Astyanax mexicanus: one gene and its partner. The protein of the gene in region 2 binds, or shares a complex with, the protein of the main gene of each other region. Links are inferred from orthologs where the notes say so. Each region holds a gene or a part of one and is shown on either strand. Other genes may lie near its edges. The genes, in order: cntn4 and ca16b.

The links.
Region 1: the proteins of ca16b (region 2) and cntn4 are in contact, whole or in part, in a crystal structure (PDB 3KLD), measured with the Mus musculus proteins. The link is inferred for Astyanax mexicanus from reciprocal best matches to the Homo sapiens genes PTPRG and CNTN4. Residues at the interface, in NP_033007.2 of Mus musculus: Lys222, Val225, His226, His227, Lys229, Phe288, Thr290, Gln293, Asp294, His295, Val296, Lys297, Ser298, Val299, Glu300, Tyr301; in NP_001103219.1 of Mus musculus: Thr128, Arg129, Ser130, Val132, Ser133, Arg135, Gln138, Gly139, Met140, Val141, Leu142, Leu143, Cys144, Gly145, Val219, Met220, Gly221, Glu222, Tyr223, Glu224, Pro225, Lys226, Glu228, Leu250, Asn304.

Annotation. Positions count from the first base shown.
Region 1 is NC_064412.1:222,632-234,561, reverse strand, and holds the start of cntn4 (contactin-4), read left to right. Parts: upstream 1-7,362; 5' UTR 7,363-7,576; intron 7,577-11,930. Other genes in the region: uncharacterized protein LOC125802241, read right to left, coding at 5,549-6,562, 7,162-7,362. UniProt on the Homo sapiens protein: Contactins mediate cell surface interactions during nervous system development. Has some neurite outgrowth-promoting activity. May be involved in synaptogenesis.
Region 2 is NC_064412.1:10,143,147-10,155,686, forward strand, and holds the start of ca16b (receptor-type tyrosine-protein phosphatase gamma), read right to left. Parts: upstream 5,271-12,540; 5' UTR 4,743-5,270; coding exon 4,655-4,742; intron 1-4,654.

The DNA of each region.
Region 1 (11,930 bases), about 9.9 Mb from region 2:
TTCGCTCTGAGCGAAACAGCGCTGAGAAAAAAAGTGCCGTCAGGAGAGATTTTACTGAACACAGTCTCTATAACCAGAGAACATCAGTCAGACGTTCAGAATTTAGAGCTGAACAGCAGAAACTGCTGATCTCAGAAACTCAGAAACTCCCTCACAATCTGAGCCTCAGTTATACAGATCAGCCTGAGCTTCTCACCAAAAACACACGAACTTTACTGTAATACAGGATCCGAGAGATCACTTCACTAAATAAGAGGAAAAACTAAACAAAAATAAAACTTAATTTTTTTCCCTTTCATTTAAAAGTCAGATTACAATTAGCAACTTTGTAAATGTCATACAACATTTTAACTTTATAAATTCTTAGTATTCAATATTCTATGAACAATCTCAAACTTTATTAAGACATATTTTATATGTCTTATATGTCTAGTGACTTTCTGTGAGTAAGTTTTTTTCTAATGATTGATTTATGATCATTTCTTTACATTTGGTTCATTTTTACTGGCAGATTTATTCTGTGAATTCTCCATTTTTAATTTCTACTTCTGGTTTAGAATCAAACTGTCCAGAAGGACCAGTCAGATTCTTAATTTCGGGGAAGCATGAACTCCATGTGATATTCAGTGAGAGAACTGCTGCAGCTCATTAATACAGTAAACAGTTTATACTGAGAGATATAATCTAATATTAATACACTTCTTTACAGATTTTTTTCACAGTGTGGAAGTTACTAAATGTCAAATTTATTTTTTTATACAGTTATCACTTTAATATTTAACCTGATGTTCTCCAGAAACGTTAGCTAGCACAGTTAGAACGCCGTGTGAATATTCAGGACTAAAGTAACTCTGAACACTGACTCAGGATCAGGCGTAATGAGACTCTTATTATAGTGTCAGTGTTAGTTAGTGCATCAGTGGCCAGGTTGTATATTACAGTATGTCAACATATAAATAAAAGTATTGGCCCTTTTTCCACTTTTTTTTTCCACTGGATCTTTTTAACATTATATTTTTATATAATAAATAATATTGGGCATCAGGCCTGCCTGAGAAAACAGCATGAAAACCAGAGATAAAGGTTCTGTTAAAACAGTAATATGCAGTTGTAGTTCGACATTTTATAAATATATTCTTTAACTGTTTCCTCCAGTTTGACAGATATTTGACGGATTCTACTTCCAATAAGAATTTAATTCTTTTAAATTATTGAATTGAGTAAGACATTTTCAGTTCTCTGGACTTGTGTATGTTTTTTTTATAACCGTGTCTTTGCTTTGTTGTTTGTTGTTTAAATAAACAGATTTCATCTTCCTTTTTCAGAAAGGAGAAGTGGATGTTCTCAGAGCGGCAGATTTAACAGATAGGATCTTGTTATTGTGAAGTCTGGTGTCGGGGAACAGTCGGTATTATAGTTTATCGTATTGGACTGGAACATAGAGTGTAGAGTATCTGTCAGTTTGGGGTTTTTTTCAGCCGGAGCTAAAAGCGTTGACGAATGAAGCCAGAATCTGAAATGTGATTAGAAATGGAAAGGGAATATCAGCCGTTATTTGGTAACAAGCCTGTGGCCACTGATAAAAAGGCCTGATAACTGCAGCTTCCTGTGTAATGCAGGGCTAAATCCGTTCCGCCGCTCAGAGTCTGGCTAATGTTGGCTGAACTCGCTCTCCGCTGGACTGGATTCATGTCTTTGTTGGAGGAGAGATAGTTGAGGGTGGCTCTCAGCACCGGTGACAACACTGACCTTGTCTCGGGTAAACATCTCGAGTATCTTCACCATGATAAAAACCGCGTCTGACTTTACTCTACTGAAAATAACGCTCAGTCCTGCAGGATTGAAGCTTCTTCAGCTGCTAAAACTGTGAAAATTACCAGCCTTGTTAATTTTTTAACATTCCACATTACTGGTTAATAAAGCTCCTCATACCTCTCTCCTGCAGGAAGGGAATTTTCTTGAGTTAATGAGTTATCAACAATCCGCGTGCACGCGGAATATCAACGTGACGGTGGAGCTCACGCACCTGCCCGGCATCGATAAAACGGAGAGCGGCGTAATTGATTTATCCTGGTCCGGAGCGAGATAACTCCACACTTAGAGCAGTACAACTCGCTCTATTTCACGGTTCAGAGGCTCTGCTATCCTTTAGCTAAAAGACGGACAGTCTGAGGTTAAATGTCTCGGTCTGAGAGTCATTAGCGCTGGTGAAGTGAGTGTGAACAGACGTGACTCTGAGTCGAGTTCAGCTGGAAATCTCCAGAAGCTTCAGCTCTCAGATTCCATCAAACAGCCTGAGAGGAACTCCCTCCAACTCCAGCCCTGATCAGTGCTGTCTCAGTACACTACCCACAATGCACTGCAGATTAAAACCATATTTATAAAGAAACAGTGAAGCGTGCAGAGAAACTACCTGAACTAATATTAGAATAATATTAGAACTTCTCCTAAACAATAATCCGTAATCCTCACTGAAGAAACGTCCAAAACATCCCTAATCTCACTGTGTTCTACTGAAATCCTGCACTTAAAGTGATAATCCGGAAGATTTGGTGATTCAGAGATCTGGGGTTATAGTGATGTTTATTTATGATAGAATTGTAGCATAGAGAGCAAAATAAAAGTCTCAGAGCTTTTATTGAGGTTTGGTGAAACAGAAACACACAGTCGTGTTATTTAAACAACAAATAAAACACTGGAAACAGATCAGTTAGCTGGTTAACATATGTTTCAGAATGACCTGCTGTACTCTCTCTCTCTCTCTCTCTCAGACTCCGGCCGCTGATGGAGAAATAGCATGACCTACTGTACTCTCTCTCTCTCTCTCTCTCTCAGACTCCGGCTGCTGATGGAGAAACAGCATGATCTACTGTACTCTCTCTCTCTCTCTCTCTCTCTCTCTCTCTCAGACTCCGGCTGCTGATGGAGAAGCAGCATGATCTACTGTACTCTCTCTCTCTCTCTCTCTCTCTCTCTCTCTCTCAGACTCCGGCTGCTGATGGAGAAACAGCATGACCTACTGTACTCTCTCTCTCTCTCTCTCTCTCTCTCTCTCTCTCGGACTCCGGCTGCTGATGGAGAAACAGCATGACCTACTGTACTCTCTCTCTCTCTCTCTCTCTCTCTCTCTCTCTCTCTCTCTCTCGGACTCCGGCTGCTGATGGAGAAACAGCATGATCTACTGTACTCTCTCTCTCTCTCTCTCTCTCTCTCTCTCGGACTCCGGCTGCTGATGGAGAAACAGCATGATCTACTGTACTCTCTCTCTCTCTCTCTCTCTCTCAGACTCCGGCTGCTGATGGAGAAATAGCATGACCTACTGTACTCTCTCTCTCTTTCTCTCTCTCTCTCTCTCTCTCTCTCTCTCTCAGACTCCGGCTGCTGATGGAGAAACATAATGACCTGGGATTTAAACAAGGATCATAGTGATGAGTGATTCTTCACGTGTTAAATTGTTCAGATTTTGTTAGAAATTGCAGGATTTTTTTTAAATCTTTACTGTGAGTGTAAGTGTGTATAGTGTGTGTGTGTATAGTGTGTGTGTGTAAGTGTGTAAAGTGTGTGTGTGTGTGTGTGTTTAGTGAGTTGGTGTGTGTTTTTAAGAAGGGACAGTTGACTGAATTAAAGTCGGAGTATCCGGCGTTGGTCTCTCTGAACTGCTGCTCTTTTTTTGCGGCGTTTCTCCTCAGTTAATCCCATCAGGAATTCAATTTACTTCCCCTTTAATTATCGTCTTTCCCATTGACTGTTTTGAAAGGAGAAGATTTTCTTAAATCCCACTTACTATAATTAGGGCTTAGGCGTGGATAAAGAAAAATTGAAGGGATCAAAGGTTGAATTCATTTGTGGGAGCGAGCCGAATCGCAGCACTACCCCTGATTGGACGGCGATACGGCGCTGTCGTAATTATGTAAATAACACTGTGAAGATCCCGCCCAGCCGGCGCTGCGGTGTTCACCGGGTCCGGCTGCAGAGTTTCTGCTGTGTTTCATTCAGAGCCGAGTGTGTGAAGGGGTGTGTAGTGTGTGTAGTGTGTAGGGGGTGTGTGTACTGTGCGTGTGTGTTAAGTGTGTGTTGTGTGTTTGACAACAGGCTTGTTAGCTTGTGCCATCTAGTGGATTATCTCCATCAGGCCGGTCGCTGCGTCGCGTCTCCGGCTGCTGATTGATCTCCTGAAGTCGGACTGATTTACGCAGAACTGATCTGATAATCCATCAGCTGCACGTTTTAATTAGTTTCTCCACAAAAATCCAGAAGAAGCAGAGAAGCTTCAGCAGCTCGAGGAGCAGATCTGATTCTACACGCTGAACACTGAACCTGGTTTAAATTTAGCAAAGCTACAGAAAATTGGAAAAGATAAACCTTTACATCAATCTGAGCTTTTAAAAGCTTCCTTACACTGTTAAATCTGTTTTATATCCGAAAATGAAAAAACTGAAATAGTATGGAAAATTTAAGTTTTATTTTATTAACGTTTGCTTAACTTCATTCAGTAGTTAACGTGCATCCAATCCTGCATTTCAAGCCTGTAAAACATAAAATTATAAATTAAATATATATTGCAAAAAAAAAACTCCACTCTGCCATTTTTCCAATTTTTCCCTACAACACACAAAACTAAAACCAAGTGATGAAGTGTTTCTGTTATTTTGTCACATTCTTTCTGTAAACTCGTCCTGAACTCATCAGTACAGGGTCATTTTCACATTTTACATTTCTAAATTCTCTGCAGCTTTATTCTCTACTTGGTTCAGATAACTTTATGCTGCTTTACTCCTGGTGTAAAAGTTCAAGCAGTTCAGTTTGGTGGTTTGATGGTTTGTGATCATCCATCTTCCTCTTGATTATATTCCAGAGGTTTTTAATTTGGTCAAATCAAAGAAACTCATCATTTTATGTGCTCTTTTATTTTTTTCAGAGCTGTATTTTGGGTAAATGCAGTCTGTGGTTGTTTGAGATTAAAATGTTTTATCTACAGCATCACTTACAGAACTCTTGTAAATACCTGTATTTGTGAGAGTGTGTGTTGGTGTAGAAAAGCCCAGGAGTCGTATTTCTCAGGCAGTTTATCTCGGATTTTGGAGTTCAGCTCCGGCGTCACCGTATGCAAATCAGACCCCGGTCACACCGCAGTGCAGAAACGCACATAACAATGCTGTCAAAACCCTTCACTCTCGCGCCCTGCAGCTCTCGCGCTACAGCACCGCCATCGCCATCACCGCCGCCGCGGGGAGCCGGCGGGTCAATAAGCTCACGCTATTGATCAGGACTCTCACTGAGAGGCTTAAGATACTCTCTCTGACCTGCAGACCCCGCAGACCCCCGTCCACACCACACCTACACATCCATCCACTGAGTTACACTGAGTACTCTAACGGTACTGAGAGATGGAGAAGTTCTGCTCCTCCCACTGGAGACGGATGTGTTCTCATTAAAGAGAATAAATATTTCATCAGATAATGTACATCTCAGAGCTCACTACTACACCTCCTTCCTGAGAGAGAGAGATCCTGCTGATCCTGCTCTTCACTAAAAACAGTGAACAGCATCACCATGATGAGAAAGGGGGGGGTTGAGGGGTAGAAAGTTGTAGGGGGTTGTTGGCGGTTGTTGGGGTAGAAGTTTGGGGGTAGAAAGTTGGGGAAGTAGAAGGTTGTAGGTGTTTTTGGGGGGTAGTAAGTTGTTGGGGGTAAAAGGTTGGGGGCCGAATGTTTTTGGGGGTAGGAGGTTGTTGTGGGTAAAATTTTGGGGGTAGTAGGTTGTTGGGGGTAAACGTTTGGGGGGTAGAAGGTTGTTGAGGGGTAACAGGTTGGGGTGTAGGAGGTTGTTGGGGGGTAGGAGGTTGTTGGGAGGTAGGAGGTTGTTGGGGGGTAGGAGGTTGTTGGAGTGTAGAAGTTTGGGGTGTAGGAGGTTGTTGGGGGGTAGGAGGTTGTTGGGGGTAGGAGGTTGTTGGGGGGTAGGAGGTTGTTGGGAGGTAGGAGGTTGTTGGGGGGTAGGAGGTTGTTGGGGTGTAGGAGGTTGTTGGGGGTAGGAGGTTGTTGGGGGGTAGGAGGTTGTTGGGGGGTAGGAGGTTGTTGGGGGGTAGGAGGTTGTTGGGGTGTAGGAGGTTGTTGGGGGGTAGGAGGTTGTTGGGGTGTAGGAGGTTGTTGGGGGGTAGGAGGTTGTTGGGGGTAGGAGGTTGTTGGGGGGTAGGAGGTTGTTGGGGGGTAGGAGGTTGTTGGGGGGTAGGAGGTTGTTGGGGGGTAGGAGGTTGTTGGGGTGTAGGAGGTTGTTGGGGGGTAGGAGGTTGTTGGGGGGTAGGAGGTTGTTGGGGGGTAGGAGGTTGTTGGGGGGTAGGAGGTTGTTGGGGGGTAGGAGGTTGTTGGGGTGTAGGAGGTTGTTGGAGTGTAGAAGTTTGGGGTGTAGGAGGTTGTTGGGGGTAGGAGGTTGTTGGGGGTAGGAGGTTGTTGGGGTGTAGGAGGTTGTTGGGGGGTAGGAGGTTGTTGGGGGGTAGAAGTTTGGGGTGTAGGAGGTTAGGTGGTAGGAAGTAAATCACCTGGAGATTAGCAGTGCTGTTGTTTTGCTGTTTTATTAATCAATGACTCCACACTGTGAGTTATTGATCTGTACTGGTGATCAGTGTGATTAATTGTGATTAGATGTTTGTGTTACAGGATGTGAGCAGAAAGTGAATCCGTTTTTTTGCTGATGAGTCAAAAATAATATAAAACAATAGTTAAAGACCCATTTTCTACTTTTTGTTTGTTTTGTTGGGTGTATGAATGCACTTCTATTAGACATTATATCACTAGTTTTAATACCATTGATGAAAAAAATAATTAATAGTGTTTTTGGTGTGAAATTGTAGAGAATTGAAGAGATTTCTTTACATTGGTGGTGAATAGATCAGACATTTGCCAACCTTTTAATTATGTCAACATTTTTATATAAAAAAAACTAGATCTTCTCTCAAATATTTATTTTTAAGTGAAAGTTGGGAGAATTCAGAAGTCTTGAGTTGATACAAAGTTACATTTTTGGTATTGGGCCATTATATGTATGAATATTGGGCATGATAGAATGTGGTGAAGTTCAGGGGGTATGAAGACTTTTGCAAGTCGCGGTACCTCAGTGTATAATAAATCAGATCAGAAGCTGCAGAATCCGGAGCTGCTGATCTACAGCAGAATCCTCCTGGTTGGACCGGACCGGGCTGCGGGACCGCAGGCTGGGTTTTATTTGGGTCGCTCGCGGATCGTCGCCGGTTGGAGCGCGTGGGAGGCGCCGCCTCTCGGAGTCTGCGCGCGACTCCTCCCCGAGCTGAGCGCGGGATACGCGCTCAATCCCTGCAGCCTCGCCGCCGCGCGCTCCCGCTCCCGACACCTGCACCAGCACCAAGAGAGCGTGTGTGTGTGTGTGTGGGCGTTCGCGCGCGTGCATGTGTGTGTATGAGTGTGTGTGAGGCAGTGTGCGGCGCGGTGCAGTGTGTGCGGTGCGGGGTTGTGTGTGTGCGGGGTCGGTGCGGTTCGGATGCTCGAGCTGCGGAGGGAAACAGCCCGCGCGCCCTGAGGAGGAGGAGAGGAGCTCGCGCTGCACAGTGAGTATCTGAGACCCGGAGACCGCGGGGCAGCGCCGAGCCGCCGCCGGCCAGAGCAGCGCGCAGAGCGGCCAGGGGAGCGGCTCAGCCCGGGGGAGGAGCGGGGAGGCGCGGGGGTTAGTGACGCGGCGCGCTGAGACTCGGAGGAGCGGGAGGAGAGGAGCTTCTAACCGGCCACCGGATACACCAGCCCCGCTCCTCACTGCGCTTTATTAATATTCATAATTACACTAACTATACTCATTTTACTATCAATACTTCTATACCAATAATACTGTGCTTCATTAATACTTATTATACTAATAATACTATACTAAAAACACTATTATACCAACAATACCGCGCTTTATTAATACTATTACTATACTCATACTAAACTATAATGCTCATATTACTAACAATACTACTATTAATACTACTATACTTATAAACCTGCTTTACTAAAATACTTTTATTACTGACAATACTGCTATACTAATAACACTATTATATTAATACTTAACACTACTATACTGATTTACTATCAATAATCATTTCTTACAATACTACTGCTTATACTACTATACTGTTAACACTACTATACTCATAATACTTTACTAACACTAATTATGTTACTAACAATACTACTAATAATGCTACTATACTATTAACACTATCATATTAATAACAACTAAACTTATAATGTTGCTTTACTGTCAATACTCATCACTAACAATACTCATATTTCTAACAATACTCATATTACTAACAATACTCATATTACTTACAATGCTACTAATAAAATATTATACCCACAATACTGCTTTACTAACAATACTCATATTACTAACAATACTATACTATTGGTACTACTATAATAATAATACTGCCTTTATAATAATGCTCATATTACTAATAATACTCATTACTAACAATAGCATTTTACTATTGATACTACTATACTAATAATACGGCTTTACAAATAATACTCATATTACTAACAATACTATGCTAATAACACTACCATACTGTTAATACAACTATACTAATCATACCATTGTATTAACACTACTATACTGATAATACTGCTTTACTAATAATACTACTATACTAATCATACTACTATACTGATAATACCACTACTAATATTAATATTAGCAATCAATATTATGATACTGATACAACTACTTCTACTAACAATAATAATACTACTACTGTTAGAGATATTGATACTAAAACTAATACTAATATTACTAATAATACTACTTTAATACTAATAGTAATCATAGTAATACTGAAACAACAACTGCTTTTAATAACAATACTACTACTAGTAATGACAATACTAATAATACTACTTTAATTATAATGCTAATAATAATCTTTTTAGTAATGATAAAACAACAAATACTACTAATAACGATGCTATTACTATTAATACTACTACTAATGAAATTAATAATAAATAACTCCTACTACTGAATAATTAATGTAATTCTGAAACATCTTCTGTTAATATTAAACTACTACACAAATTAATACTGCTGATAGTACTGGTGATATTAGTTTTTTTAATTTTGTTACACAGCAGGTTTATCAGTGTAAATCAACACTAGTTTTGAATTTATACCTCGAGTTTTTGATTGTAACACTTACGTCGTTTTTTAAACATAAAATATTAGCTGTGTATTATAACTAACTTTATTATAGAAATTTATTTATACATACGCTGTCGTATCAAATTTCAGATTAAAGTGTTTTAAAGTTGTGATTCTATACTGTTAGTGTTATAGAGGTTGTATATAGTAGCAGTGTAGTGTTTTCACTCGTAACTGTCGTGTTTTTGCTGTATAGAAGATTCTTTATAGATTGAGGTTCTTCGCTCTAGTAAAATGGTGTTTTAATAGTTATTGTTTTTATACGCGGTGGTTTAGTTTCACGGTCTGGGATTTATCATAGATCAGTTTCAATCTTTCAGTGGAAAATCTTCCTGCAGGATGTTTTGTAGACTAGGCTTAATCCCTGTCTCTGAAACAGTCCCTGTATAAAATATATATACAAATACATTTAAATATATAAACTGTCAGACTGTATTCACTGTATTTTCACATCACTTTCACATGTCTTTACTCCAGCTGTATTTACTCAGCTCTATTACAGTCTGTACTCTAGTATATATTTATATGATATATTGATGTAGTTTGTGCATTAATTCAGTTTGAGTTCTGATATTGACTCTCCTGCTGCTGCTGCTGCTGCTGGTATTATGGTTGTTGTTAGATAGATAATATACATATAATATATATTATAAATATAAATATGCATACATTATAAAATAGTTGTGAGAAGTGAATATGTGAATACCCAGTCATGAGTAAATGTACTTTATGATTGTTGTTGTTTCTGCTGGAGACTGAACTTCTCTCTGTGAGGTTTTTGCGTCTGGGTTGTTCCTGGATGTTTAATCTGCAGCGTCTGCTCGGTGTGTGTTACGCGGGATTAGCGTGACGGTGGTGATCTGAAACGGTCAGAACGGGACGGAGCTCATCTACGAGATTGGCGTCGCGTTTCACAGATGAAAAGTGCAGATGTTGGTTAATCTGCTCTCTCTGTCCGAATCGTTTAATCCGGCCGGACCGGCTGATCTGAGCTCAGCTAAAGTCCTCTCAGAAACTCAGAGAGACTCCGGCCCTGACCCGAATCAGAAAACCCATAACCGGGTTCTGCTTCTGCAGAGAAACACACTTTAATACTTGTATTGTAACGAGTGTGAAGGACGTTTAACATGATTATTTAAGGGTTTTATTATCTAAAATGATCTAAAATTATATCACAATATTTCATGGTATTTCTGCAATAACGATACTCTTGGCAATATGACAAAACACTGAATTAAAAATATATATTTAAGAATACACTAATGTTACTGCAACAAAATGAAAATTACATTTTATTACTGCATATGATACAATATGATATTTCACACCCCTAATAACTGAGATATTAAGAAATACAAGAATTTTATCAGATTTACAGTAACAGAAGTCAGTGATCCAGAATATCATGATACTAATAATAATAATGCACTCCATATATCTCCACATATCCAGGATTAAAGTAAAATAAATGATACTGGACAGATATAATCTGTCTCTAGTAGATATATAATGGGAAATGAGAACAGTGTGAATTTTTCTTTTGATAAAAACAGTAAAAAGGTAAAAAGAACCCTGATGTGATAATTAGGGGGGGGTGTTATGGCTCCATATTTCAGGGTATAATATCATATTTATTCAAAAAAAGTTGGCGATATTATTGTGTACAATATGATATGGATCACCCCAACTCACATACGGTTCTTCAGTGGCATTACAGTGAGTTATTTGCACTATGGCTGGATGATGTGACTAAATACTCGTATCTTGATAAATCTCAGAAAAATATAAATATACTATATATGTGACAGTATGATAAATCCTTAATAAAGTATAATGTTGATTATGTTTTGTAATGTTCATTTTTATTTAACACCATAAATGATATAAAGAGTTTAAGTAGTAAATAGTTAAGTGTTTATTATTGAATCAGTATTACTCCGGCTGCTTTTAATCGCAATGTTTCAGTGATATAATAGTAAAATATTGTATTCTTTAGTCGTTTAGTCGAGGTGAATCCCTTGTTGGGGGGGGGGGGGGGGGGTTGCTGTGGAGGGTCTCTGTTTTTGTTGATGATTTATTGTTGTTTATAAAGGTAAAGGGGGGTGGTTGGGGGGTTGTGGTGACGTTGCTGGTGTTTCACTGGTTCTTGCTGGATAATTAGTCTCTTCCTGATGGAGAATTTAACCAGTAAACGCTGCTGTTCTTCCTGTTTGTTGTCGAGACGTTCGTCTTAAATATAAAGAGCTGAAGGAAACACCGTCATCTCAAATAAATCACATTTATATATGGTAACCCACAGCAGCTGTGATATTACTATATAATGATATTTTATATTGTGTATATATTGATATATTGATTTAAGCTTTTTAAACTGTACAGTATTGACTGTTTCTCTATAACATCACTTATCAGTGTTTTAATGTTTAGTTTTGCGAATATTACTTTAATATAATGTATAATGTTAGTATTTCTCTAGTTGAGATTGTTGTGCAAGAAATGTTCTAATAATGTTGTGATGAGAAACATTATTATGTCATTATTATGTTATTTCTGCAGCATTATTTATAAAACGGTACAGACTGAACTTCCTGAAAACTTTGGAAAACATCTCTGTTAACTCTGTTAGCTGGGGGGGGGGGGGGATACTGGTGTGGGGAGGTTTGGGTCTGGGGGCTCCAGACGGTTCTGTTCTGTCAGTCAGAGCTTTAGGTTTTTTA
Region 2 (12,540 bases):
CCATTTGTTGCAATTCTGTAACAGTGAGCTTTGGAGAACTTTTTATTTCTCTTATCATCCTCCTCACTGTGCGTGGTGGCAAAATAAACTTGCGTCCTCGTCCAGGCTTGTTTACCACTGTTCCAGTTGTTTTAAACTTCTTAATAATTCCTCTGACAGTAGATATGGACAGGTGTAGGCGAGTAGCGATTTTCTTGTAGCCATTGCCTGACTTGTGAAGGTCAACACACATCTGCCTCACTTGAATGGTATGTTCCTTTGTCTTTCCCATGTTGAAGATAAATGGCCTCTGTGTCACGTCATATTTATACCCCAGGGAAACAGGAAGTTGTGAATTACTAATTAAATGTTCATACATAGAATTGTTAGGGGTGCCAATAATTGTGGAACAGGTGATTTTATGAAGAATAATTATTTCTTAGTCAGGGATTTTATTTCCCCCTTAAAATTTACTTGAGTTAAAGGTTGGACTTTACTTTTTTTTCCCATCGTGGTCCTATATTATTTTGAACAAAACTCAATTTATGAGAAGCTAAAGAACACATCTTAACCAGGGGTGCCAATAATTATGGAGGGCACTGTACATAAACTCTAAAAAGCAACTGTTCTTTTTTATGCAAGCAAAAACAAAACACTAAACAAACCACTGTCTGAAACCAATCTTTACATTAAAGACTGATAATTCAAAATCCACACTGTGTTTTTGAGACAGTTTTGCAAAACATAATAACGTGATGCTTCAATATATCGATATTTTCTAACACCCCTACTAAAGAACTTCCCAGAACCATCTCACCGAGTCACTGAGGAAGCTATACTGTTTTTGTACATTAACTGTATAGTGGGCTATCCAGGTCATTTTACCTCAAGGTCAACTAGAATATAGAATTGTTCTTTATGGCTATTTCAGCTAGAGGATGAAATAGGCATGAAACTGTGCACAATTCAAAAACCTTCACTCTTAAAAATGAAGACTCTTCAAAGGGCTCTTTGAGCAATGCCATAGAGGAAACATTTTCAGCGCCATAAAGAAGCACGGGCCTCAATCAGCAACTGATCTTAAAAAGAAATTTATTTTCTGAAAACCCACTTAGAAAGAGAAGAACTGCACCAGCTTAGATTCTAATTCTATGTGGGATTAGATCTGGCCTAAACTGACTGCTACCTTAAATAATCCTGCTAATCAATTAATTAACTCCATTAAATATATACACAGGGCTTACTCTGGATTATGCTCGAGCAAAATAACGTTCCCACACCCTGTTGTAATGTTTGCAATGACTATTTTGTCTATGCATTTCTACTAGGAGTGAGAATCATAGAGAATCATCTCATTAAACACTATTATTACGATACACTGCACATGATAATGATGATGATGTAATGATACTGTCATTCTGTGGTACTTGATATTATCACAAGACAATTCTCTTCAATACTTCACGACATCCGTGTTACTAAAGAGGAGAAATTAATAAACCAAAAAATATATACCAGGGAAAACAGATTTATTGGTGTCAGTTTAACATAGTTTAACCACCCAATTTATTAGATTAATTACCCTACTTATAAGATAAGCACTACAGCATGAAGTAATGAAGCAGTAACTTTAGTACATCAAACTGAGGTGCGAGTGTGAGAGAGTTTCAATAACAATATTGATAACTGATGCTAAATATTTATATGATATGATATGATACAATCAAGACAACATGATATATCACAATAATGATATATATATATATATATATATATATATATATATATATATATATATATACATATATACAGCTCTGGAAAAAAATAAGATACCACTTAATGATGATAATTTTCCTTGATTTTACCAAATTGAAAATTAAGAGCAAGATGGATGACCGCAAGCCATCAAACCAAGCTAAACTGCTTGAATTTTTGCACCAGGAGTGGCAAAAATGTATCCAAAAGCAGTGTGTAAGACTGGTGGAGGCAAAGAATGCCAAGATGCATGAAAACTGTGCTAAAAACCAGGGTTATTACACCAAATATTGATTTCTGAACTCTTAAAACTTTATGAATATAAACTTGTTTTCTTTGCATTATTTTTGCGTTTGAGTATATTTCATCCATATAATATAACTGATATGCTTGAAATTCCTATTAACACAAATCCATGTCTGTTTATTAAATGATTAAATGATCAATAGTTCTTTTAACTTGACATATTATATTACCTATATTACCTATAATATCACAATATTTAATTGACCCATAGTGAAAATGCATCTGTAGCAGCAGAATCTTACAAGACAATCATTTTTCCTAAAATTATTATTCTATAGATAATATTCCTCACCTCGTGAAGATGACTGCAATAATGAATTGAGTTAAATTGGCTTCAGTTTTGTGTGGGAGGCAATTAAATAAGCTTTTAGGGATTTAATATTCACCCATTATCACAAAAAACACTTAGAAATGAGGCTTTTTCACAAGGATTCTGATATTCATCAGTGTTAATGAGGATACTGGGATCCATCATTATATGAACATTCTATATATAACAGTTCTGTGCACCAAATGAACCTGAAAACTGTAGACAATTACAGCTCTTTTTTTTTAAAGAACAAATTTAGGAAAATAAGATCCTGGTGAATAAAAAAGGATAAGGTGTAAAAGCGTGTAAAAAGAACCTTCCAAAGGTGTAAAGAAGGTGATGTAAAGGTTCTTTTCCTATTGAAATGTTCTTTGCACTCATATTTCCTTTACAAAAATGGTTCTTCATGAATCTAAACATGAATCAGTACACTGGACATATTTCCAGACTGTACTTTTTTTAAGCTTAATGGAAACAGATGTAATTCCTCAAGGTAAACCGATCCATCACTAAGTGCTCTGGACAAAATGGTCTTGGGTATCAATAAATAATACAGTCATGTGTGTAATATGGGCATAGACCTTCTACCCATGCAGCGACTAAATAGAAATCTTCATATCATGCCACCCTATCCTGCATCAAATCAATGTCAAATTATGTTCTGACTTTGAGAGATAAATCAACATTGATATTGCGATGTTGTTTCTACACCTTTAAACTACAGATTATGTGTTGCTTTCATTCTTACACTGTACACTTTTAATATATTTGATCCTTTTTGTGTTTGTTAACGACAATGGTTCTATAGAGAATACAAGCATGAAATGTAAAAAAAAAAAAAATATATATACATATATATTCATTCACAATCTTTACTGTCTAGTTTGATTCTGGTGTTGTTTTCCATTTATATCACTAACATATATCACTAAATATATTAAGTGGTCTTATTTAAGTCAAGATATAATAACTAATGCTTATACAACCATTCAAGACAACAGCACAACAGCAATGCGTTTTCTTTCTAATTTACAGTTACTGATTTATGATTTAACCCCTTCTATTATGTTAATTTATTAGGACCAGGAATGGTGTTGCCGGGTCACTTTGACATGTTTAAGTATCCAAAAAATGTCTAAAACCAAATCAATGTTGATGTTACGGTTGAATCCACATTGGATTTGGTGTTGATTTTAAAAAATGTGAATCAACATTGATATGGCAACATCATATGTTCAACCTTTAATAAACCATAGCTCACTAAAATTAGAAAATCCTATGGTTAACAAAGTGTTAACAATAAACTTACATCCCTGTAATAAAGCTGAGTATAAAGAAAGTTACCCACCACTACCAATCTGATTACTGAACATCTGATCTCAAAAACACTAAAACAGTAAAACTAAAAGAACATGGTGTTAAATTAAAAAGCAGTTACTGCAAATAGAAGTAAAACACTGTTTCATTCCTCCATCCAACCATTTGTAGATAAAAATGTTAAATGCTGATTCAAAAAGCAGAAGGTTGAGGACATTATATTGATTGAACATTGAAACAATGTTGAATCAACATTTAATGTTAAATGGTTGTGCAAACTTTGAAATTTTAAGTTGAATCAGAATAATGTCCTAAATAATGTCCTTCTGCCTTTTAACTCAGCATTTAACATTTCATCAGCAATTTCTAAAAGCGGTTGGATGGAGGAATGAAAAAGTGTTTTACTTCTATTTGCAGTAACTGCTTTTTAAGTTAATACCATGTTCATGTTCTAATAGTTTTACTGTTTCACTGTTTTTGAGATCAGATGTTCAGTAATCAGATTGGTAGTGGTGGGTCACTTTTTTATACTCAGTTTTACTACAGTCATGTAAGTATATTGTTAACACTCTGTTAACCATAGGATTTTCTCATTTTAGTAAGCCATGGTTTAGCAAAGGTTGAATTTATGACGTTGAAACAACGTTGCTATATCACTTTTCAAAATCAACACCAAATCAAACGTTGATTTAACCACAACATTAACGTTGTTCAACGTTGATTCAGCCTTGAAATGCCAGCTGGGTAATGTTGATTCAACTTTGTTTGAATGTTGAAAAAACAACAGACATTACTTTAGTCATATTTCAACCTCATTTCAACGTTGAAGGTCGGTTGTGTGCCAGCTGGGTTGATTGTTTGGCTAGATGTTGCCAGGTTTGGGTGGTTGAGCTTTTAAGGACAATTTAGGAACTTTTGCTCAAATTCTGCCCACAATACTTACGCACTGAGTGCTCGGTGTACTGGAGTGTGTTCAGGCCCACTTACCGGGATAGCAGCTGAAAGACTGGAGGAGGAGAGCTGCCAAAGTCAAGCCCAAGACCGAGAGACGGCGCGGTTCCCGTAGACTCCACATGTCTGAATGCGCATTGATGGCGAAGCGCGCCCGCACGGATTGAAAGGACGCGTGTATTATTAATACTAATGACTATAATAATCAACATAAAAGAAAACGATGAAGATGAAACCACTGATTTCAGCAGTTCATCTCAGCGCGCACGAGCAGTTCAGGGCTGCGTGCTCGCGCTCCGCGGGACATCACACCGGGCAGCCCACGTTAGGCAAACGCAAACACGCACACACGTTAATTCTCGGTGACGTCCTCATGCAGCGCGAGCCCCCTTCACGCTTCCATCATCGTCCGTATAAGTCCAATAATTAAAATTCCGCGCGGTCCCGGAGCTCAGCGGTCCTGCTCGTCTTTGCTATGCCGAGGAAAAGCCGGGGACTGTCGCGGATCGCTCGCGCTGCTCCATGCAGGAACTTGTGAAGGAAGAGGCGCGAGGGGCTCTGACTGAGGGATTAGTTCTACAGCAGCAGCAGCGCGAGCGGGCAGGAAGCAGGAGCACGCATGCACACACACACACATACACAGACACACACGCGCGCGCACAGAGAGACCACCCCTCCGGATCCTAGCGCCGAAGGCTGGACGCGCCTTCCTTCAGCGGTTGTTGAGTCAGACCGGCTAAAGATTGGCTACTGGACGACTCTGCATTTGCATAACGTCCATTTACAGCAGGCAAACGACTCCACCAGCTTTTGCATGCTGGCACTGATTTGCTTCAATGCTCTTACTCTGACCCACGTGCCCAAGCCATTTTTTACAGTAAGTAAGTTTAAAAGGACCTCTACATGACCTTAAACCATTTGGTCCAATCTCAGTCATTCAGGAAAGTCAATTAGAAACATTTATTAAAATGTTGATTGTCTGAACAGCAGAATCACTTGATATGTGAACATCAGCTGAAGACCAACCTCTTCCATAAGCACATAGTGCACTAATACTTATTAAAGATTATGTTGCATTACTATATCTTGTTCTTGTTGTTCTTTGGATGATCTTGCATAGTTGTGTACTGTAATTTCTACACTCTGAAGAATTGTATCACTAGCAATTGAACTTGTGTGGCTCATGCATGGGAGCATCTGATCTCAGAGTAACTAGAATCCAGGGTCTCTCGACACTTTCCTTGAATGTTCTACGTGAATGACTAAGCACTCTGCAAGTTGCTCTGGATAAGAGTGTCTGCCAAATGCTGTAAATGTAATAGAAGATTTCTGGAAAATTCAGCACAAAGCAGCATTTGCTGTTAACTGGTTTTAGGTGGTCTAAGCCTTCGTTTGTCACGGTGGTTAAGAAGCTGGTCATTCAGACCCAGCATGCCCTATACTGGTAAACCAGTTTGTCACCAACATAGTGTATGCTTCATTAGATTTTATTCATGCTTAGCCATGCTGAGCATCCAGCTAGGTCTTGCTGGTAATCTAGCTCGGTGATGGTGGGAATGCTGGTCAACCATCTGCCTTTACAACCCTCTTTCTTAAGGTCTCAGAGAGAGCTCTTTGGATCTGGCTATATTGATCCACTCAACTATAACAATCACATCAAACTAATGTATTAGGATAAAATAAGTCAGGCTCCTCCCACATCCTCTCCAAACACAATTGAATCATTTGCAGCTGATAAGCTGCGTCAAATTCTAATTTTTGACATTTTAAGTAGTACTAAATGTGATAGTAAAAGAAACATTTTCCTGACAAGAATAAAAATACAATTTACAAATATTATATATCAATATATATATCAATGTGTGTGTGCAAATGTTTTAGGCACCTGTGGGAAGTTCTGTAAAGAATAAGGGTCTTTCTGTGAAGTAAGTGTGTATTAGCTCAGTAAAACATTAGCATTACTAGTATTACTTTACATTATTCTAGTTCTCATCATATCAACAACTGGTTTGGTAAATTGGTAAATCAGGTGAGCTGCTGACAGAACTGAACATATACACATGCACAAATTGAGAATTCCTTGTTACTTTTTACTGTATTTATATGTTTTTTTAGGTAAAACACTCATATTGCTGAGATAAATGGATTAGTGTAATTTGCTTTGATGCCTAAAACTTTTGCACAGTCCTTATATACGCATTTGTTTAGTTATGTAAGCTCCATCTCTCAATACTATTAATACTGTTAAAGTTAAAGTGATGGTCTGTTGTAAGTTTTTGGTGAGAATGAGTAATCGCACCAAACATGCTACAAAATAATTTTTAAATTACTGCATTATGGTGCGGTATCTATTGGGAGTAAATGAATCTGGTGATTTTAGTGAGGATTTTGTTGCGTGCCGTTTTATCTTGCAAGCTGTCTTCAGTTCTATTTCTGTGTTTCTTTGGCTTATGATTAGTGAAGAAAGAGATTAAGAGTTTGACATTCTGATCTCTCAATCTCCATCTTCACATTAGCCCTTGTATCAGTGCCAATAGCAGCACCATGGTTGTTCAGGTAAAAGCGACACAAAGCCACAAAAAGGTAATGGGACCTACTGGACACTTCCAGGGACTGACTTTGGACTTGATATAATATTTTTTTCTCTGGAAAACAGTAAGGAAGTAACAGTAAGTAATAACAGTAATAACTTAATAAACTTTTCATCCTTCCCTCTGCTGACAAGTTTTATGGAGGTGCGGATTTCATTTTCCAGCAGGACTTGGCACACTGCCCACACTGCCAAAAGTACAAATGAGTCTTATATAATATTAAAATACATAATAATACATTTTGAACTGAATTTCTGAAATAAAGTATTTTTTTTTTATTATATTCAAATATTTTGAGAGGCACTGGTATATGCAGCTTTGCAAGAATAGTAGCAGAAGCACATTAATGCAATTATATATATATATACATATATATATATATATATATATATATATATATATATATATATATATATTTACTACTATGTTCAATTTAAAAGAAGCAATCTAAAGAACTGCTGCTTTCATCTAAAATGTAAAATTAGTTTAAATAAGTATTAATAGGGTGTTTTATTTTTTTCCCAAATTACTGAATATGCATATATGCGTTTGGCTGTGTGTGTATATATATATATATATATATATATATATATATATATATATATATATATGCATACAATTTGTATGTATTTTAAAGGTACAAGCCTTATAATCAACTGTTTAGAGCACTAAATGGCCCTATATAGAGGTTCTTCACAGTTTGAAAGGGTTTTTATCACTTACACATTTTAAATGTCTTCAGGCCCACAGGTTCTTTTGGGAACCAAATGTTACTCACACCAAAAACTTTTTCTGGCACCTTTATTTTTAAAGTGTTAAAGAACACACACAGAGAAGGACACACATTTAAGCTTGATTAACTTGTTTAACCTTTCTGTTGCCGTGTTTTGGCACTTTAATCTGACCCTTTAAAGCTGCAAACATGGTGTGTTTAGCAATGCTGTAATCTATATAAAATGTTCTAGTAAACCCGTTAATGGCCTTGACTTTCAGCCAATCAGCTTAACATCCATTACCAACAGAGTGGACGTGTTAAAGGCTATAGATGTGTGGATAAAATGTATAGCCTATATAAACAGCCGTATATTTGCCTCCTATATATCTGTGGAGTTTCTTTATCGCTACTCATAACTGTTTAATAACGGAGCGAATGAATAATGAATGACATTTTCCTTTGTGTTGTTATTACTCAGGCTGAGAAGGAGATGTGTGTTGTCTCTCTCTCTCTCTCTCTCTCTCTCTTTTTCTGTCTTTTCTCCACTGAATGGGGTGCCTGCTCTTTAAGCCACAGAGACCGGCGCTGTCCACGGTTCTGAAAGTTTGCCAGGCCTTTGGCATTGGCCGTGCTTCTGAAGGCCTGCCCCTCCCCCCAGAGTGCCACAGCCTATATTGTTCTATTTTTCAGCATGAAGATGGCTAATGTTGGCACCACAGAGCTACAGGCTGTTCACTAAATCCTTGATGGCACACCCAGTTTGTGGGTATCTCACTGGAGATAACACACAGGGAATAACAGCAGTTCTACATCTGGCAATTCACCAGCAATTAACGTTGTGATTCATTTGGCCTTGCACTGATAAAAGCACGTCTCATTTACAGCTGTAATTGTTTGTATGCCCTCTAACCTGTGGCAAGAAACTATCAGTGCATTTCACATTCTCGCTTGATTTAAAGGCTACCTGGATTGGGATTTACAGTATAACACATGCATATACATCAGATTACATATTTAGTTATAAATGTATTAAAATTTATCTTGTCAAGCAGAACCAGTGGAAGATTATTGATTATTGTGTATTTATCAATAGGTGAAATCAGCCCAGTTTTGTCCAAAGAGTTGCATTATGTTTTAAGCAGTAAAAAATCGGCTCTTTTTATACTGCAAGGAATAGAAAACAGATAAATGGTTGAAACATTTCTCCTATTCTGTTATATTTTAACGACACAAGTGCAAGGCTTAAAAATAGGCTGTTGACAGTGTATAAGATAGCAAAGTGCATCACAATGTCCCTTGTGCAGAGTGTATGATAGGGAACAAGAGGTTGCTATACTAAACATCCTGAGAGCATCACAGCAGAGTGCGTTCATCTCACCTTATTTAAAGAGTGTAGAAGTGCTGGCTCCTTTTAAAGTGTATTATTTGCTTCTACAGCTCTGTTTCAACTATTTAACCATTCAAAAGCTTACGTAAATTAATGTTTTACGTTCCTTAGAACTAATTCTGACATGATTTCTAGAACCAAATGTTAATAATAGTTATGAAATTGTTGTTCTGTCATTTATGTTACATCATGATTAACAGTCATGTGTCTGCAATAAGAAACAAACATGAATGAGCTGCTAAGTGAATTTATCTGATTCAATTTTAAAGTGGCAGTCTGTATTATTTTGTTTCTAAACTGAAAGCAGAAGCATTTATGAGTGGAGAAGAGATAAAATATTGTGTTTAATGGTACCAGTGTGCTGAAACCAATATCCCTGCTTAGCCTAATATATTCATTATAAAAACTGGGGTGTTGGGTTGCTTTTCGTGGGAGTTCCTCTGGCCACGTACTTACGCCACACGTACAGCCTCTAAAAGAAGATCCGGCTCAGTTTTACTGAACACGAGCAGCTGGTGGAGCAATGGAGACTTCAGAAGGGGAAACTCAGAGCTCAGTAGCTCATTCACTCATAGTAAAAACAAAGGAAGGAGTGAAGAACAAAAACAGTCGAAGGAGTGAAGTTTCTGACTGAGCGCTTTCTCTCTCTCTGACTGAACATAACCTGGAATTTGATTCATCCGCTCTGAAAGGAGACCACATCACACCCGCCCAATTTAAAATGATTCTTCTGCATGCTCTGTGGAATTACTCATTCTCACCAGAGAGGGCACTAAATCCCAAAACTTACGGACACCAGCTTTAAAATTGGTATCAATATTGAGATATTTAGGCCTGGGCTCTTATTAATGCATTACTTCCAAAGTAGGGTTGGTTTATGAAGCCCATGAAACCAAAAGCAGTTCTTCTTTGGCAGGGCTCAAAGATCAACTTGTAGCACCTTTACTTTTAAAAGAGAATAAGAAGAGGATGAGTTAACTGAACAAAAGTTCATGTAAGTTCCATCAGGCACCTCAGACCTCAGACTGCATGAAACCTGACTGATTTCCTCCTTTGCTGAGGCCAGCTCTGTGAAAGCTTTAAGTGTCCATTGGCTCTCCTTAACTCTGTCAAAAGTGTGAGTTGAATACTTTATCACTAATTATCACCTCCAGGCTCTCTCTGCAGCAGGTAGGTCGGTGTGGGCTTGGTAAGCGGGCTTCAGTGAGCTCCTCAGACAGCTGATATAAAGGAGAGGCAGTGGGATGATGAACAGCAGGAGAATTTGGGAGAGAAGCCCAGCTGGACTTTAATTTGAAGAATCTGATTAAATTCGGTATTTAATTACCCTTCTCTCAGAGGGGCTGTTGGGGACCGTCACAGTGTTCTGAGCATGTAGAGTGTGGGCCATCTGCCTGTTCTTCTGGAACTCTCTCTGGTGACCCCTGGAAGATACACACACATACCCACACACAAACACAGGCACACACAGACACATACACACACTATGACCGAAGACAGACGTCGTGTCCCCAATTGCATGCTAAATAATTGTTTGTTTTTTTGGAGTGCATAGTATACAATGTACTCTCCCTGTCCAAAAGTATATGGACAACTCATTTAATTAGTAAATTTAAATGCATTATGGTGGATCCATTGCTGACACAGGTGTTCAACAGTACACACACACACACACACACAGTACAAGGGTTGGACAATGAAACTGAAACACCTGTTTTTAGACTACAATCATTTATGTCCCGACAGACAGTTCTGGTGGAAACAGGAAAGTTGAGGTGCACATTGAATTCTGTCGTGATTTGATCAGCCGTGGTTTTAATTTTTTTGGATACAATCCGGGTTAGTACCCGAACATTCCTTTCAGACAGCTTCCTCTTACAGCATCCACAGTTAATCCTGTTGGATGTGGTTGGTCCTTCTTGGTGGTATGCTGATGTTACCCTGGATACCGTGGCTCTTGATACATCACAAGACTTGCTGTCTCGGTCACAGATGCGCCAGCAAGATGTGCACCTACAATTTGTCCTCTTTTGAACTCTGGTATGTCACCCATAATGCTGTGTGCATTGCAATATTTTGAGCAAAACTGTGCTCTTACCCTGCTAATTGAACCTTCACACTCTGCTCTTACTGGTGCAATGTGCAATTAATGAAGATTGGCCACCAGGCTGCTCCAATTAGCCATGAAACCTCCCACACTAAAATAAGACAGGTGTTTCAGTTTCATTGTCCAACCCCTGTATAATCTCTATAGATTATAGGTTTTATCCATATGAGCCTAATTATCACTATGCCCAATGCCAAGCATCATCTAGAAGTGTATAAGGCCCTAGAGCACTTTACTGTTGCGAAGCAATGGAACTGCATTATAGGAGATGATGGAGTTCCATCTAATATGTTAGATAGAATGAGCTGCAGTGATGCAGTTTTAACATCAAGCATCAGCACCTAACTAATCACCAATGCTAATGTGGCTAAATGCAATGTAATGCAATGTAACTGAATGCCTTCTCAAATAATAAGAAGCTGTTACAGCAGCAAAAGGACAATTGTGTAAAGGATCTCTAAACTAGTAAAGGACCTTTACCAGAAAAGAATGCAATAATGTATTTTTGTAATACTCACAACCATGCTTCTTCATAGAACCAAACATAGATGTTCTTTAAAATCATTCAAAGAACTGCTTGAAACATCAATATTTTATAGACTGTATTAGATTAAGTGCACACTATATTACTGTAGCATTGATAATACATTATACTGCAACCGTGAGAGTTTTATGGGTCTTGCTGACGTTATTGAGATAGTTGCACTTCACTTGGACGGCGTCAACCTTGGAGATAAATACTTGTGGCAACCTCTGCTTGTACAGATCAATGGGTTGGATTAGCCCCGTAAATCCAAAGAAAGGGTTTTCTCACGGGAGTCCCATTTCAATCAACATTAATCAAACCCAACACCTCTTGCCTATGCATTTCTGCTGCAAGCATGACTCCAACAATCCTCCCAAATGTCCTCCGGCCTTCAACACCCACACACACACACACACAAAAAGCATGCACTTAATCACCAAACATATTGCTGCAGCCAGAAGGAAGTGTCAGATTTTGGTGGTTAAAAGGTACTAGGAACAATAAATTATTAAAAATATACACTGATATGGGCAATACTGGTTGAAGAATATGCCGTCACATCAATGTCAAAAGTCGGGGACGCAAAAATACCAGGT